2 linked regions of the Drosophila melanogaster genome follow. The protein of the gene in region 2 interacts with the protein of the main gene of each other region in a pairwise test. Each region holds a gene or a part of one and is shown on either strand. Other genes may lie near its edges. The genes, in order: azot and CG2852.

The links.
Region 1: the proteins of CG2852 (region 2) and azot interact in a two-hybrid assay, tested with the Drosophila melanogaster proteins (one large-scale study listed by BioGRID).

Annotation. Positions count from the first base shown.
Region 1 is NT_033778.4:7,946,348-7,953,324, forward strand, and holds azot (ahuizotl), read left to right. Parts: upstream 1-3,491; 5' UTR 3,492-3,541; coding exon 3,542-3,988; 3' UTR 3,989-4,118; downstream 4,119-6,977. Other genes in the region: CG14764 (uncharacterized protein), read right to left, coding at 1,258-2,173; CG34431 (uncharacterized protein), read left to right, coding at 1-635; CG30378 (uncharacterized protein), read left to right, coding at 4,156-4,602.
Region 2 is NT_033778.4:22,640,628-22,648,737, forward strand, and holds CG2852 (uncharacterized protein), read right to left. Parts: upstream 5,718-8,110; 5' UTR 5,645-5,717; coding exon 5,555-5,644; intron 5,419-5,554; coding exon 5,294-5,418; intron 4,908-5,293; coding exon 4,505-4,907; 3' UTR 4,019-4,504; downstream 1-4,018. Other genes in the region: RpS24 (ribosomal protein S24), read right to left, coding at 73-468; Ugt317A1 (UDP-glycosyltransferase family 317 member A1), read right to left, coding at 1,323-2,659, 2,716-2,803, 2,865-3,026, 3,178-3,180; CG30195 (uncharacterized protein), read right to left, coding at 6,066-6,348, 6,404-6,582; CG34446 (uncharacterized protein), read right to left, coding at 6,951-7,136; CG34445 (uncharacterized protein), read right to left, coding at 7,362-7,506, 7,567-7,826.

The sequences.
Region 1 (6,977 bases), about 15 Mb from region 2:
GAATAAATCAGTCCAGGGCGAATGCAGAACTGTTTATTTTAGACGACAGAGATTCACCCATGGACTTTTTGACTTACGATGACTATCAAGGAAAGTATGTTCCCTTGGCCGAAGAGAAACCCCAACCACCCAATCGTCGAAGAAAGAAACGATCTAAACGACTTTTCGTTCCCAAAACTGACGCAGGTACACAGACTGAATGCGAGTGTGAAATTTGCTGTTCGTTGCAAAAGTATAGGACTGAAAAAGTATCACCTTTGCTAATGGAAATGACAATGAAAAGAAATTTTTTGAATCAACGACAATACTATATGGAAAATCTCAAGAAAAGAAAGTTAAAAGCACCTGTTTCAGAAAAAAGGGAATTAATCTCCATAACTAAGCCCAATCAAAGCGATTGCGAAGCGAAACACAGAAGTCACAAAGATGTAAATTTGTATTCTCGTTACCCCAAAATCATTTCCGAAACCCTTGAGAACCTTACATCCCCCCTTCGATTTGAAAACTACACACGAGAATTATTAAAGGCTTACAAGGCACTCGATGTGACAAAAATGATATCACGCTGTTATCAAACACTTTTTGAAGCCGAGCAACGAACGAATGGAATATTTCCAAATACCTTTGATCCTTAACCGAAAATTTGTCGACTATAAAGTATCTGAATCTAGTCAATCAATGAAGATACAGAAATGAGCATTTGACTGCATATAACATGCGCGAGAAAATGAATGAAATTGGAAAAGAAGCATTTTCTTTCTTTGGATTCATCAATTAAAAATGAGCTCTGTGTTTAATTCGCCAGGAGTGCCAGGAAGTGAACACAGAGTTCATTTCAGATGAATTCAAGGAAATGAAAGCTTATTTCTATTAAAAATTCACCTATGCTTGGTAAGCATTATATGTAATAACCAGCCAAAAAGTGAGTATTGTTGACTACTTAGTTTGGGAAATGCCGGTCGAATAAAAATGAATTGTTCGTTAAGAAAGGCAATGTCACTTTTGCCATCAATCCCAATTCAGGTGGTAATTACATAAATTTCCCCGATGTGAGTGCCATCAACGGAATGCCGTGCAAATGACAGTTATTAGTACACGAGCCTAGCCCCGAAGGAGAGCTTGGGGGTTGGAGGTTTGAACGTACGTTTGATTGATTTATATTGGCGTCAGGCAGTGACTGAGGAACATTTCTAATGACAGTTTTACATATCCCTATGACGCCACCACCACCACCACCACCCATCCCACCCGACTCACCGATCGGATCGATGCACTCGAGGGTGAGGCAGCACTTCAGCCAGGGAAGCATGATCTTCTCGGCCACCAAGGAGCTGTCCGAGAAGAAGACAGCATCCAGGTCGACCATCCGAAGAAAGTTAAACTCCTCAGCTTTCGACTCAAAGTAGTCGAACATTTTTGGATGCGTCAGAGAGGATACCGCCGTCGCTGTGTTCCATCCGAGCACTCCAGCGGACTTGACTGCAGATTTTCCCACTCCTGGATTCATAACGATGCTCTGCAGACTTCGCAGCTGGGCGGAACCTCCGCGCACGCGCATGCTGTTTTCCAAGAAGAGAACCGATCGGGCACGCATAAGACCGTCCTTAATTACAATGGGCCGGTAGGCGTGCGTCCGCTGATCGGCGACGAAGGAGGGAAACTCCGACAGATCATAGGTGATCACCGAGCATCGGCTGTTATTACAGTAGGCGCCCAAATCCCGTAGTTGCTCCTCGGAAACGCCCAAATCGTAGATTAGCAGGTACTCGCTGGGAAGCTTGGCGGCAATATTCTGGGCCAGCAGGATGGCCGATGCGGCCTGCCCCTCCAGCACATAGCTGACGATTGTGAAGTTGCTCTTTGTACCGTTGTACGGCGTCGTGATCCGCTTCCGCTGCCCCTTTTGATCTCCTGCCTGACTACCGAAGGTAACAGCATCCTGTGGACGCCGCAGACCTCGCAGTTCGCTGAGCTCCAGTTCCGCTTTTGTAGCCGGCGCTGAAAAATCTGTCTTTGGCAGTTGCTGACCTGGTGAACCGATGTCCACCACATTTTGCTGATCCAGCTGCTGCTGTTGGCCTGTAGCTTCATTTGACGAGGTGAAGCCCAGAAGAAGCAAATACTTTGGGTCTATTTCGAGCTTTTTGCGTTCCAAGCCAACGCGGAGGTTTTCCTGCAAGAAAAAAAATTAAATTTGCAATAAATGAATATTTTTGGTTTATCCAAGAAATAAACAAGAGATTTATTATTTAAGTTTTGACATACGGTTCCCGAACCCCACTCTTAGAAAATTATTTATGTCGGGCCAGGCGGCGTTAATGGTCAAAAAATATGGCCAGAATTTGCCTCGTCATAGGAACAATTCCGAAACACACATGTGAGATATGTTTCCATTATGGCCCTCTAGCACACTTCCTCTGTTTCGCCGAAACTAGCCCAAACAAATACCCAAACACAACCAAAAATCAAATGAGCCGCACAATGGAACCCTCTCGTGCCGATGTCAAATTCTTGTCTATTATTTGCTTAGACTGTGGCCAGAGTAAAGCGTGCCGCATTCTCTGCCCACCCCCCCGGGCACTACCACTCCTCCGGCAGCCAAAAACCGGTGTCAGGTGTGTCCCACTGCGGTCAGGTGAAAGGGCCGAGGGGGAGAAGCACTGGAATTAACCTGCGGCAAAAAGGCAGCCGCCAAAGTTGCAGGCTAGGCGCCAAACCCAAATCGCATGACAACCTTTCTGTGCCGATAGCAACCACTACACTTGTATGGCAGTACACTCAAAACACTCTTGTTAAGTATGAATAGTATGGTATGCTGATTCATAGATAGATTATTTAATGTATAGCAAAACTTACGAATAAGTTTAAGCAATCAAGAACAAAATCTTACATTTACATTTTTATACCAGTTACTCGTGAAGCTAAAGGAGTTATTCATCCAGATCACTAGTCGATCTGGATAAGCCCGTCTGTCCTTCCGTCTGCCTGTCCGTCCGTATGAACGTCGAGATCTCGGGAACTATAAAAGTTCACTAATGTTGTTTTCATTCTACACAAATATTTTGGCGTTGCAAACTTCTGTTGAGTTCTTGTATTTCGAATAGCGAAAAGATGAGCCTTTTTTTTCTTGAGTGTGCGTTGGAACAATGACGGTGATTGTACACATTCTTACTCCTTAACTTTCCTCGAACGGCACTCTCCTTCTGTTTTGTTAACGAACAACGAAAGATACTAGCTGACGTCCGTTGCTGGGTCGCAATTGAAACCGATCAGCTGCAAGGCCTCCTCGCCCAAGGACATTCGAATCAATCAACTCTGTCCGTGCGGCACTGCGCTTATATAACGAGCATATTGATTTTGTGCCATTCGGTGTTGTGCACTGTGCAGCGCAGTGAAGCCACCGGGGGATGTTCATTTTACCATTTTTCACATTTCACTGAGTTCAATGTCAGGACCTTGTTTCATCCAAACATCAGTTGACACCTACATATAAACAGAGCAATATACAACTCTTCCGAGAAACTATAATATACCAGTTAAGATGGAGGATATTTCGCATGAGGAGCGAGTCCTGATCCTTGACACTTTCCGTATTTTGGACAAGGACAACGAGGGCGCCATAACATCTAAAGAGATGGCGGTGGTGATTCGCGCCCTGGGTCGCCAGCCCAACGACGCCGAGGTTCAGTCCATGATCAATGAGGTGGATTCGGAGGGAAACGGATCCATCGTGGCTCCGGAGTTCTGCAATGTGATTCTGCGCAAGATGCGCGACACCAACCATGAGGACGAGCTGCGCGAAGCTTTCCGAATTTTCGACAAGGATAACAATGGCTACATTACCACCACCGAGCTAAAAAATGTGTTCACCGCGCTGGGCGTAAAGCTCAGCGACGACGAGTTGGAAGAAATGATACGCGAGTACGACTTGGATCAGGACAATCACTTGAATTACGAGGAGTTCGTCAACATGATGACAATGCGATAGCCTCCATGTGAGTACTCGTATAGAAGGCTGGCTTGATTTCTATCCAACAAAAAGTCGGCGTTCTGTCTGTGTTCAGTTTAAATTCTTTATGTTCACACTGACAAAAGCACATGAAACATTAGTCCACTACAAAAAAAAAAAAAAAAAAGAAAATCACTTTGGAAACAATGAGCGGCAGTTTGACCGAGGCCCAGATTGAAGAAATTCGAGAAGCATTCAGTTTGTATGACAAGGAACGGTCCGGATGGGTTTCCGTCCAACAGCTCGGCGGAGTAATGCGGGCCCTTGGAGAGAGTCTCACCGAGGCGGAGATCTACGACCTGGCCAACGAAAGTAACGCCGACTTCGGTGGGCAGGTGCAGTTCAAGGACTTTCTATACGTGATGAGCAAACGGCTGGAGGAGCAGAACAGTCTGGTGTGCCTAAAGCAGGCCTTCAAAATCTTCGATCGCAGCGAAGTGAACAGCTTTACAATTAACGAGATCAGAATGGTGATGACCAACCTGGGCGAGAAGATGTCCGAAGAGGACTTGCGCGAGTTGTTCCAGGACATTGATCAGGACAAAGATGGAAAGATCTCCTTCAACGAATTTGTTACCGCCATGCGAAGCTAGGAATTCCAAATTGAAGGCACAAATTAACCACGAACCCCTTTCGAAAGAGCCCAACCCAGTCGCGTTTTCCCTACGCCTAGGCGGCACCACTTGAAATTCCCAACCAAATTCCTTTGGCTTACTCAACGCAGCGCCAGAAAGTCGGCTGTTAAACCTTGTCCGAAGAAGTCCACTTGTGTGTGTCCATGTGGCACGGCGCGTGACTCCGAAACGGTCGCATGTGCCTAATGGCCGCTGGGGAGTGCCAGGATATTCGAAAGGGTGATGGCGATGGGCCAGAGCAATCATAAAATCGAGCCACGCTGATTACGATGCCAATTTAAATATTTGACCATGTGCTGGACTGGACTGGACTCGCTGGTTTCCTTTTTGTCTGACCAAGTTTACAAGTGGCATGATTTTGGGTTCAAGTCTTATCGCACCTTGCTCTTTTTAAATTACCTTGTTATCTATTGGCACCCTTAATACGCATACAACATACATTGTCCATGACTCATTCGGCAATTATAAAAGCCCACCTTGGCAATAAAATATTGTCAAGTGACTAGTGACTAATAATTTGTAAGGGGGAAAGGTTTATAAATTTGAATGCGCCTTCGTGCATGGATTTCAGAACATATATAAAAGAAAATCATGTATAGAGAAAGAATAATTGATGCCGAATTCGGAGAAATATTTCGGGGCTGGGATGCATTACTCGGAAAGATTTCACGATTTCGTCATTGCTAATCCTATTTGTAAAAGGTAAATACCCACAATAACCCCAAAAATACTTAATTATGCTTAATTGAAAAATTAAAACATTAGCTTCTTTATTTTACATCCACTTACAGTTAACCCACGGACTTATTAATGTTAATCAAAAGTCGAGAGGTCATTCCGACGTTCATATGTTTCTAGCGCTTCATATGGATAATTTAAATAGGTTATCGTTCAGCTACAGTTTAATTGCATTGCTCTGCATGTGAGTGGCGGTGCGACATTGAACCGATGGCTATAGGCAATCAATAGCGCCTGTTTACTCCTCACACAGGTAAATATGGAATACGAGTAATCGCTGTGCAAGCGCATTGATAAAGCCCGCGCTCCTCGCTGTAATTTAAGTCATTGATTAGTGTCGTCCATTAAGAAAGTTGACACAAATTGTCACAAATGGGGCAGCATTATAATTTGAAATTAGAAAAAAAAAAAAGAAAACATTCAGCTTATTTCCCAGCAATACTCCATAATTGGCTAATTGACTAAATAAATTTCTGCTCGACTTATATATGAGTTTCGTATACCCACAGTTTTGATTCGAATTGTTGTATTCAATCCCAGCGCACCTGTTTGATTCCCACGAAGCGAACCCTCGGAATAAGATCCAAAAGGGTGGGATTTAGCTATACACGTACTTCCGCATGGAAAGTTTATACTACTTTTAGGTAGTCTCCGGAGTTGTTATTTATACATAGGCACGCTTTAAAAATATATAGTTCATAATAGAAAACACCCTAGCTGTGCTATGAATATGTCTTAGTCACAGAAATGATTGTGCACTCACTGGAAGTGTTCGACATGCATCAAGTGCTGGCAGTCGAACAGTCAATCACTTTAATTGTAAATCTATATGCTAGCCTATATTAGTATGATGTGGAAATTTATTCACACACATATCGTTGTGTATGTAGCAGTACTGGTGCACAAACCAGTTGGGTAAAGAATGCATTTTAACAAACGAACGAGCAATGCCTTAGATTTTGATGCAATTGTGGGAACTAGTTTACAGACAAAGTAACTTCATATGCGTTGAAACGCCTTTTCGGGTGGAGAAGATACGTTGATCCCTATCAAAACAGTGGTATTACTAATTAATGCTTCCATTATCTCAGTTTGTCATGATAGCAAAATCGTAGGTTTCTGTTTACCTCGTTGAGATAACAGCCAGTTGTAAACTTTGAAGCAGAGACTCGGCGTTTGGGCACTATTAAAATTGCCTTTATGAGTACGTGATGGGAAAAGAACACCTTCTTTGCGTAGCTAAACATGAAATGCATAGCGATGATTTATAACCATCTTGCTATGCAATCTATTAAGTTTTCCCTAGACGCAAGAAATCCTTCAGCGACGTGGTCTCGGAGCCGTGGTTAACCGCAGGTTACCCAATAGCTCATCGGGCTGTGCAACCGGACTCCGGCCGGAATCTAATTAGTGTAAACAGTAAACGCTCTGGCAGGCGAAACGTAAACACAGCCAGCAGTGGCCTCGAGTTTTTGTTTGCCAGAGCACGGCCAAAAGTGTTCCGAAATGAACCCGACCCTGGTCAACACCCGTCCCCTTTGCCTCTCTGCCTTCCAGACGCTTATGTGAGTGATGCTGATGACTTTCATTTGGCT
Region 2 (8,110 bases):
TTGACTAACGCATAACCAGCAGCTTTTGGGAATAGCAGGCGATGCCCGCAGACGAGCTTTCCTCCATCAGGCTTACTTCTTGCCAGTGCCGATCTTGGCCTTGGCAGTACCGCGCACCTTCTTCATCCTGTTGCGACGCTCCTTGCGCTGCTTGCGGGTCTGCTTCTTCTGTTCGAAGAGGCCGTGACGGGCCAGGCGGTACTTGGGCTCGAACTTCTTGGCGAAGTCCAGGGTGTCGTAGATGAGGGCAAAGCCGGTGGAGCGGCCGCCACCGAAGTTGGTGCGGAATCCGAAGGCGAAGACCACATCGGGGGTGACCTTGTACATGGCGGCGAGCTTCTCGCGGATCTCGGTCTTGTTCACCGACGACAATCCTGGGTGGAGGACATCGCAGACCATCTGTTTCCTGGCGAGCAGGCGGTTGGTCATGAACTTGCGGGTGCGGATGGTAGCGGTTGTACCGGACATTTTGACGGAGCTGCAAAAGGATGGTAGAGGTTTAGCTTGGGCCTTTCATTCAAACAAAATGCTCGCCAGTCCGGATTGTTTTTGTCGCTTTTGAGCGACACAACATAACCTCACTGGCAGTGGGTGCTCCATGTCTCCACGTGTGACATGTTTCTGCGCTCATTCGCCGTCCACGGACACTGCCCTCAATCACGGAGCTATAAGCATTTTGGTGGCGGTCTTTGCCTGCATTTTTAGGCAGTTCTGAGAGTAATTTACCTTTTAAAACACTTGAAAAGGTTTTAAACACGTCGTTTTGCGAACGCGATTTATTAGAAAGGAAGATGGCCGTTTCAGAGATGGAAGAAATGGCGATGATTCGATACTATCGATATTTAAAGACTATCGATATTTTTCGTCCAACTGTTGTTGCCAGATCGTAGTGTATATTTGAATAATAAAAAATCTTAAGTAAGTTATGTTAATCTCAATACACTAAATTGTAAAATCACCTATTTTAATATCGATCGAGTATCAAAATACCCAATAAGCATTAGTCAATAGTCTACTCATAAAGCTATGACAAATTTACGTTTATTAGTTTTTTTTCCTTTGAGCGCCAAATTGAGTTACGATTCGCTATTAACATGTTTTGGTCAACTTTATTTTTCTTTGTTCCCAAATCAATATAATTATAATTATAATTAATATAATTATTATTTTGTACGAAAAAGAAGCCAACAAATCTTGACTTTCTTGAATGGCAGCAACCAACTTTCTGATGATTCAGCTTTTCTTTCATTCATGTTCTTGAGAATGCATTCTTATTTTTCATAAAAAACTGCTCAGAATGCACTTTATTCAAAACTTTAAACCTAATTTACTTTGGTCGACTTGGAGTTGTTTTTCTTATTCCAAATATAAAAGCCGCCAAAACTCAGGGCCACCAGTAAGCTTACGACTAAAGTAGCTATTCCGGCATAGAACACGAAGAGGTCGAACAGGTGCAGCTGGCAGGAGGAGATCCCAATGCCTCGGGTTCTCAAAGCCGATCCTCCCTTGTGCCGGGCCACATAGTTCACCCAGAAGAGAGCGCTGGCCAGAGCGCCAAGAGGACGGTCCCTGAACTCCAGAGACACATCCCGGATGGTCAACTGGAAGTGTGACTCGAGGAGTAGCCTGTCCACTGCCCAGTTTAGTGACTCAGTTGTCACATTGCCCTCCTCCAGCTGTAGGCCAACTCCTAATCGCACGGCTAGCTCCATGTTCCGAGCTTCATGCTGGAATAGGGGCAATCCCAGAATGGGCACATTCCGCATGATGCCCTCCTGCAGGTTGAGCAGATCTCCATTGGTTAGGAAAGCCTTGACTCTCGGATGCGCCAGGATGTCTATCTGCGGCACTGCATGCTGGATCATCACATTCTTTGGCAGTCCCTCCAGGGTCTTGACGTCGTGACAGGTCCAGATTATGCTCTGCTTTCTGGCGGAGAAGAAGGCAAACAGAGTGTCGAGTTTCTCCTTGGGTAGCTGGCCACAAGCCTGCTCATTGCCCAGTTGAACGTAGATGGCTCCAGGACGCGCCTCCTCCAGAAAGCGCTTCACATTCCAGGGCAGCTCCTTGGGACCACGGATGTGAAGTCCACCGGCGGGAATTATCTGTTGGATACTAACTTTGGGAGTTATCAATGGCACATGACTATTGAGCAGCAGCACGGATAGCTGGCTGGCCTGCAGCTCGGGGATAGAGCTCTGCAGCTGGAAGTACTTGGTCACCAACTGCTCCTGACCGCCGTAGTGATCCTTGATGAACTGCTTACGGCGAGCAATACATGTCCGAATATTTCCCAATCGTACGGAGAAGCTCATTTCAGGTTGATCCCGCTCAAAATCGATGGGTGAACAAGCGGCTGGTACCAGTGCCTCTTGTACGGCATCCATGTAGTTGCCGAAGTCCGTGGAAATAATCCCTACAACTGGCCGCTGATGGAGAGCTCCCAGTGCCAACAAAGCCTCTGTGTAGAAGTAGTCCACAAGGATCACATCGAAATCGAACTCAAGATATGACATCTTCAGCAGCTTTTGGATGGGCTCTTGGGCGAGGAAGTGGTCCAAAGCACGCGCTCCAACGCTGGCCAATGACTGGCGGAGTTTTTCAATTGGCAGGAGTCCAAGATCAGCAAGGTTTCCCTTGGGTGCCGCCTGTTTTTGCACTGTATGTGGATATTGCTATACTTCGTGAACAATCTTCTCCAGACGGCCTACTCACATTCGCTCCAAAAAGGAAATTCCGCTGTCACCGTTTCGGTAACGTTATCCAGAGATTCTCCCAAACCATGACCGGTATATACTTCAATCTAATTCAAACAACATTCTTTTCATTTCTTAAACGTTTTAAACGACAGCACTGCCACTTACTGTGTGCTCGCGATTGGCCAACTCGGTGACCAGAGTCCGCATCACCGCAAAGTGACCCTCGTTGACATGGGGAAACAGTACCAGGATCTTGGCTGCCTGTGAAATCTGGCCCAGAGCTAGTCCCAAAATAGCCAGCAAGATCCAACGATTCCATTGAGATTCCTATATGGTTTAACATACACACAACTAATTAGGTCATTTCCGAAAGTACACATCATCGAATTAAAGACAATCTCTTCTTATCTGTCTTCCAGTAGCTTCGAAACTATTTGGATGACACTTTTTCTAGAACTTCTTGCATCCGTTTACCAACCATATTCCCTATTATCAACGATCAGCTTGGGATTATACTTAAGTTCCGGCCGTAATGCAATTGCATTCGCCGGTAAACTCTTCCGGTTGTATTGAGTTTACGAATGAGACTGAACTTATCGCTCCCAGCGCCTTGACTCCCCACAAAAACAAAACACTCAACTGATTGCTCTCGGGAATATAATCTTAGAAGTACGTCCAGAATTTCTGTGGTCACTGGAACATGTGTGGCACATGAGATTGCCACCAGACCCCAATACACATGCGTTTCATATAGATCCTATTGCTTTCATTAATGTATACACAGCGATTGTGGGGTCTGTGAAAGGGGTACAATTGCACATATGTACGTCTTCATATATATGTACATATACGATTCCCCACATTTGAACGATATGAGATCGTCTCTTCAGTTCTTGGTTTCTCTCGCTCTAAACAAAAGATTGGGGGACGTGAAGTCTAAGGATTGGCAGACATATGCATTTCTAGACAATGTTGTTGCATTTGAGTGCATTCGCTAATTGTAAAAGTTGCCAATTCATCAGCGTCTGAGATCTGAAAAATTATGCTATATATAATTAGTTACTAGAGGGCTGGTTTCGGGCTTTCACCTCTATATACATGGGATAGTATAGTATGGTATGTATATAGTAATCAATATTTAGTCCAAGGGTTGTGAAAGGAAACTTTCTATAAAGAACAGGATACTTGATCGAAAGATGAGCCAGTGGCACTTATTTAAGTATCAATCGACCCGATTAACTTCTGCAGAGACAGTCATGCACCTGTTCATTCAATCATATACAATTAGTTCCCAGCAGGCCCAAACAAACTGAATAAATATACAAATGAACTCGTCTGTGTGTTCTTTAATTTGTCGCAAGTGTGCAAATCAGAAAAATGTGACGAACCGAGCGTTGTTTATCAACAACAAAGAGAAAAAACAGACAGAACATGGGCAATCTAAATCGAGAACGGCACAACATACAAAGGCAAACAAATTGGCGAAGAAGGCACAAACCGGTTGCCACTAAGGGAAGTCAGAGCCAAAAGAAAGCGATGGAACCAAAACCGGTTCATTGAACCTGCACACCACCGGCATCATGGTATAGACACACAGAACGATTCCAGCTCTTTATCACACAAAAAATCATTCTTTATTTATGCCATTTCTGTTTTTAGTTGAGCACAATTACTTGCTTACGGAACGAAATGTAAATAAACATGGCGAGCTATGGTAAATGCAAATGTCTGGAAAAATCGATTATGCGTTTATGCTTAGTTCAAATCGGTTATGTTGCTGATGGATGACATGCTCCCCAAACACTTTAGTCGGTGGCATCGGCCTTGGCCACGGAGAAGGCCTCCGAAACGGGCAGGGTGCCGCTGTTGGCGATGACCACATCCTTGACGGGACGGTCGCGGGCATCAGTGGCCGAGTTCTCGATCTGGCGCACCACATTCATGCCCGACAGGATCTTGCCGAAGACGACGTGGCGTCCATCCAGCCAGCTGGTCTGCTTGGTGGTGATGAAGAACTGCGATCCGTTGGTGTCCTTGCCAGCGTTGGCCATGCTCAGCCAGCCGGCGCCATAGTGCTTCAGCTTGAAGTTCTCATCCTCGAAGCGCTCGCCGTAGATGGAGCGACCGCCGGTGCCGTCGCCCTTGGTGAAGTCACCGCCCTGGATCATGAAGTCCTTGATGATGCGGTGGAACTTGCTGCCCTTGTAGCTGCGGGGTATAAGAGCGTTGCATGATGGTCAGTTTTGTCAGCATGGGAATTTAAATTTAAAAAAAAACTGGGTTTAGAACTCGAAACCTAACCAAAAAAGAACATGCATACTTATAAATTCAGAGAAGAAAAAAGAAATACCCAAGAACTGCACTTTTATAGTATGGTAGACTTAATAACAGTTGGCGTTCTTTGTTAACCCATTAGTGCCGCTTTGTCAACTGATGTATGCGATTGGCCGCTCAAACGCCACGTAATTGCTTCAATCTGAGAGCCCCGCTATAACCTACAAAGTGCCGCTGATTAGCGGCATCTTTTGCTGGCCTAGCGGTACCTGGCACCCTACTATGTTGGGGTATTTTCGGTACTCAAGTACCCTACTCACCCCTCGCCCTGCGGCTTCAGCGCCAGCTCCTTGAAGTTCTCCACCGTCTTGGGCACCGTCTTGCCGAACAGACCGATCTCGATGCGACCAGCGGGCTCGCCGCCAATGGTGATGTCAAAGAAAACCTACGCAATCGGAAGCGGTTTATTATTAACAAGTCATCTCACTTGATTTATGGCGCAGCAAATGTGTGTGTGTGTTTGTGTGTGTATGTACGTGGTGTATGCAGAATGTAAGGACGAAAGTCCAAGGAGCACGCACCTTCTCGGTCACTTTGGGACCCTTGCTATCGTCGGCAACAACGACGCCGGCCACCAGGGCTACCACGAAAACGGATAAGAACAGCTTCATCGTTCTAAATATTCACAGCGCTTCAGTTTATTCCTCAAGCGACGTCGCCAATGGATATTTCACGACTGAATTTTCGGTTTCTGTTAGTGATGTAAGAAAACTTTGTTGCATCGCCAATCGATGTTTTCCATCGTTTTTTATGTTTTTGTCGAAATATCGATGCTTAAGTGTGACCATTCGATGACGATGTCTGATGATCACACATTCGGGCGGAAAATTCAAATTCAAATAGTTAATACGCCGAAAGCATAAGTTAAGGTTTTCGTACGAAGGAACAAAGTAAGTTCGAAGAGTTGACTTTATTGGTATAGTTTTTAATATTTTAGGGATTAGAAGTCCAGTTTGCATTAGCACGTAGCATTCTCTCTTGTTTTATTGACGGTTCTGTACACAAAAAGTAAGTAAAAAAATATGCTTTTATTTATTGGTGTACTGCTATTTGCGTCTGAGATTTGTCCATATCCTTGGCTGCCTTCTCTGCTCTCTTCTTCTCCCTGCTGGCCAGAACTTTCTCCCTGGATTTCTGGGCCCTTTCAGCGCAATCCTTGGGTCGTGTCTTCAGGGTCATATCATCCACGGCCGCCTGTTTACGGGCTGATCTCGAAATGCATCGTTCCATGCAGCTGATGGGCACAAATCTTCCAATGAAGCAACCGCAGTGTGAACAATAGTGATTGATGTCCTGGCGGCCAGACCATTTTTTACTGAAATAAAGTGAACATTACGAAAGATTTATAAAGCTTCATGCAGATGGCCAACCAAAGTTTTGTGAATCCCAGAAATCTCTGCAGGCAAGTGACCAACTCCAGTTGCACCAAACTGGTTCCAGACTTCTCACACGAAGGACAACGGATCCAGGTGGGCTCCTCCTTCAGGTATCCCACTTGTGGCTTGTGGCTGACAATGATGGCCACAATCTGCGGTTCGTCCACGGTCATGATGCGAGTTCCAGCGAGAACGATCGGTGACTGAAAGATGGATCAAATTTGGAGAGATCATGGGAGGGAAAATCAAAATCAGAATCACTCTCCCGATTTCTCTTAACCGAGGCGTTGGTCTGGTAATTAAGTTAGTGCATGGAAATCAAATGAGTTATTCTCTCTGCGTTACAAATGCCATTGGATGTACAGTGTAAAAAGTATAGTGTACATTTTGAGCATTACACATTAAATAGTAAACTTTTATTCGTTTCAAACAGCAGTATATTTATTATTATTATTGAATATAAATTAAATGACAAAACTGATCTACATTTGTTCATTGTGTTATAATAATTCGGATCCGATGATCCTTCTTCAGTGGGTATCTAAAGTTGTGGACGGCGGTATACGCCCAGGTACTCCCCGCAGGCACCGCAGTGATGCCTCTTGGTGCAGCAACGCAGCCAGGAACGCACCACACGGGTCTTGGCCTTGGTCCTGCAATAAGGACACGTAATGTCGTTGGGGCCGGGGCCCACGGCAAAGTAAAGTGGTTTCGGATCCTGAGCCATTTCGCACCGAAAGATGTTGACTGCTTTAAAAACAAACGCAGACTGAGGCTAGCGAAGAGAAATTGTAGGAATAAAATGTTCAAATGATATGCAAAGAGAAAAAAATCGGCCCAAAAAAGAGAAAATGTGATATTTTTGGCTTTATTTTTGTTTCGATGGTATTGCAGTAGTGGGTGGGAAATTGAGTGTTTAGAAGAATTTTAATAAATATGTGAACAATGCTGCCTAGGCGGTGGTTGCCTTCAATTTGAGTGGTTGCCTCCTCTTCATGGAACGTCCAAAGTAACAGCCGCAATTGCCGCAGTAATGACTTCGATCGGTTTGTTTGCACGGCACATAGTAATTAAAGCAGCAGCAGCAGCAGAAGGTCCTGTAAAAGTATTTTATAAGTTTACGTTTCCAAGAAATAGGAGAAAGTAAGGCAACCTACACAAAAAGACATCCCACAATGCGGTTTAGTTCACTGGCCCACCACTTCAGATCATTTTGCACCACACTCAGATCCTTGATTCCGCAGGCGGGGCACTCGATCTCCACGGGCTCGCGTGGCAGGTTGAGAAAAGTGCCTGCCAGGGGCGTGGCAAAGTTCTCGTAGATCTTGCGCTCCTTTCGGTCCTCCAGAGCCTTGGCCTCCCGCTCCCTGATCTCCTGCTGCGTTTCCGCTTCCTTCTCCGGCAGCGTTGTCGTCATGATCGCTCAACAATCGAACTGAAAGCGAAACGCTGCCAAGCACGCTGGCAACCTGTTTCCAAACTCAAAAGAGAACGTGAGTGCACAGAGAGAAATAATATGGAATTTTTGGCCAATATATTCCCCCGGTTTTCCGCCCAAAAATATGCAGTTTTTTTGATCGAAAAAGTAAAAATAATGAGCCAAATATGGAATGGGTTACATCGTTGAATTCATAATACAATTTTCTATCGACTGGTGTTGAAGCCTTAGATTTTCAAATTTTCGCCTTTTTTTGCATAATA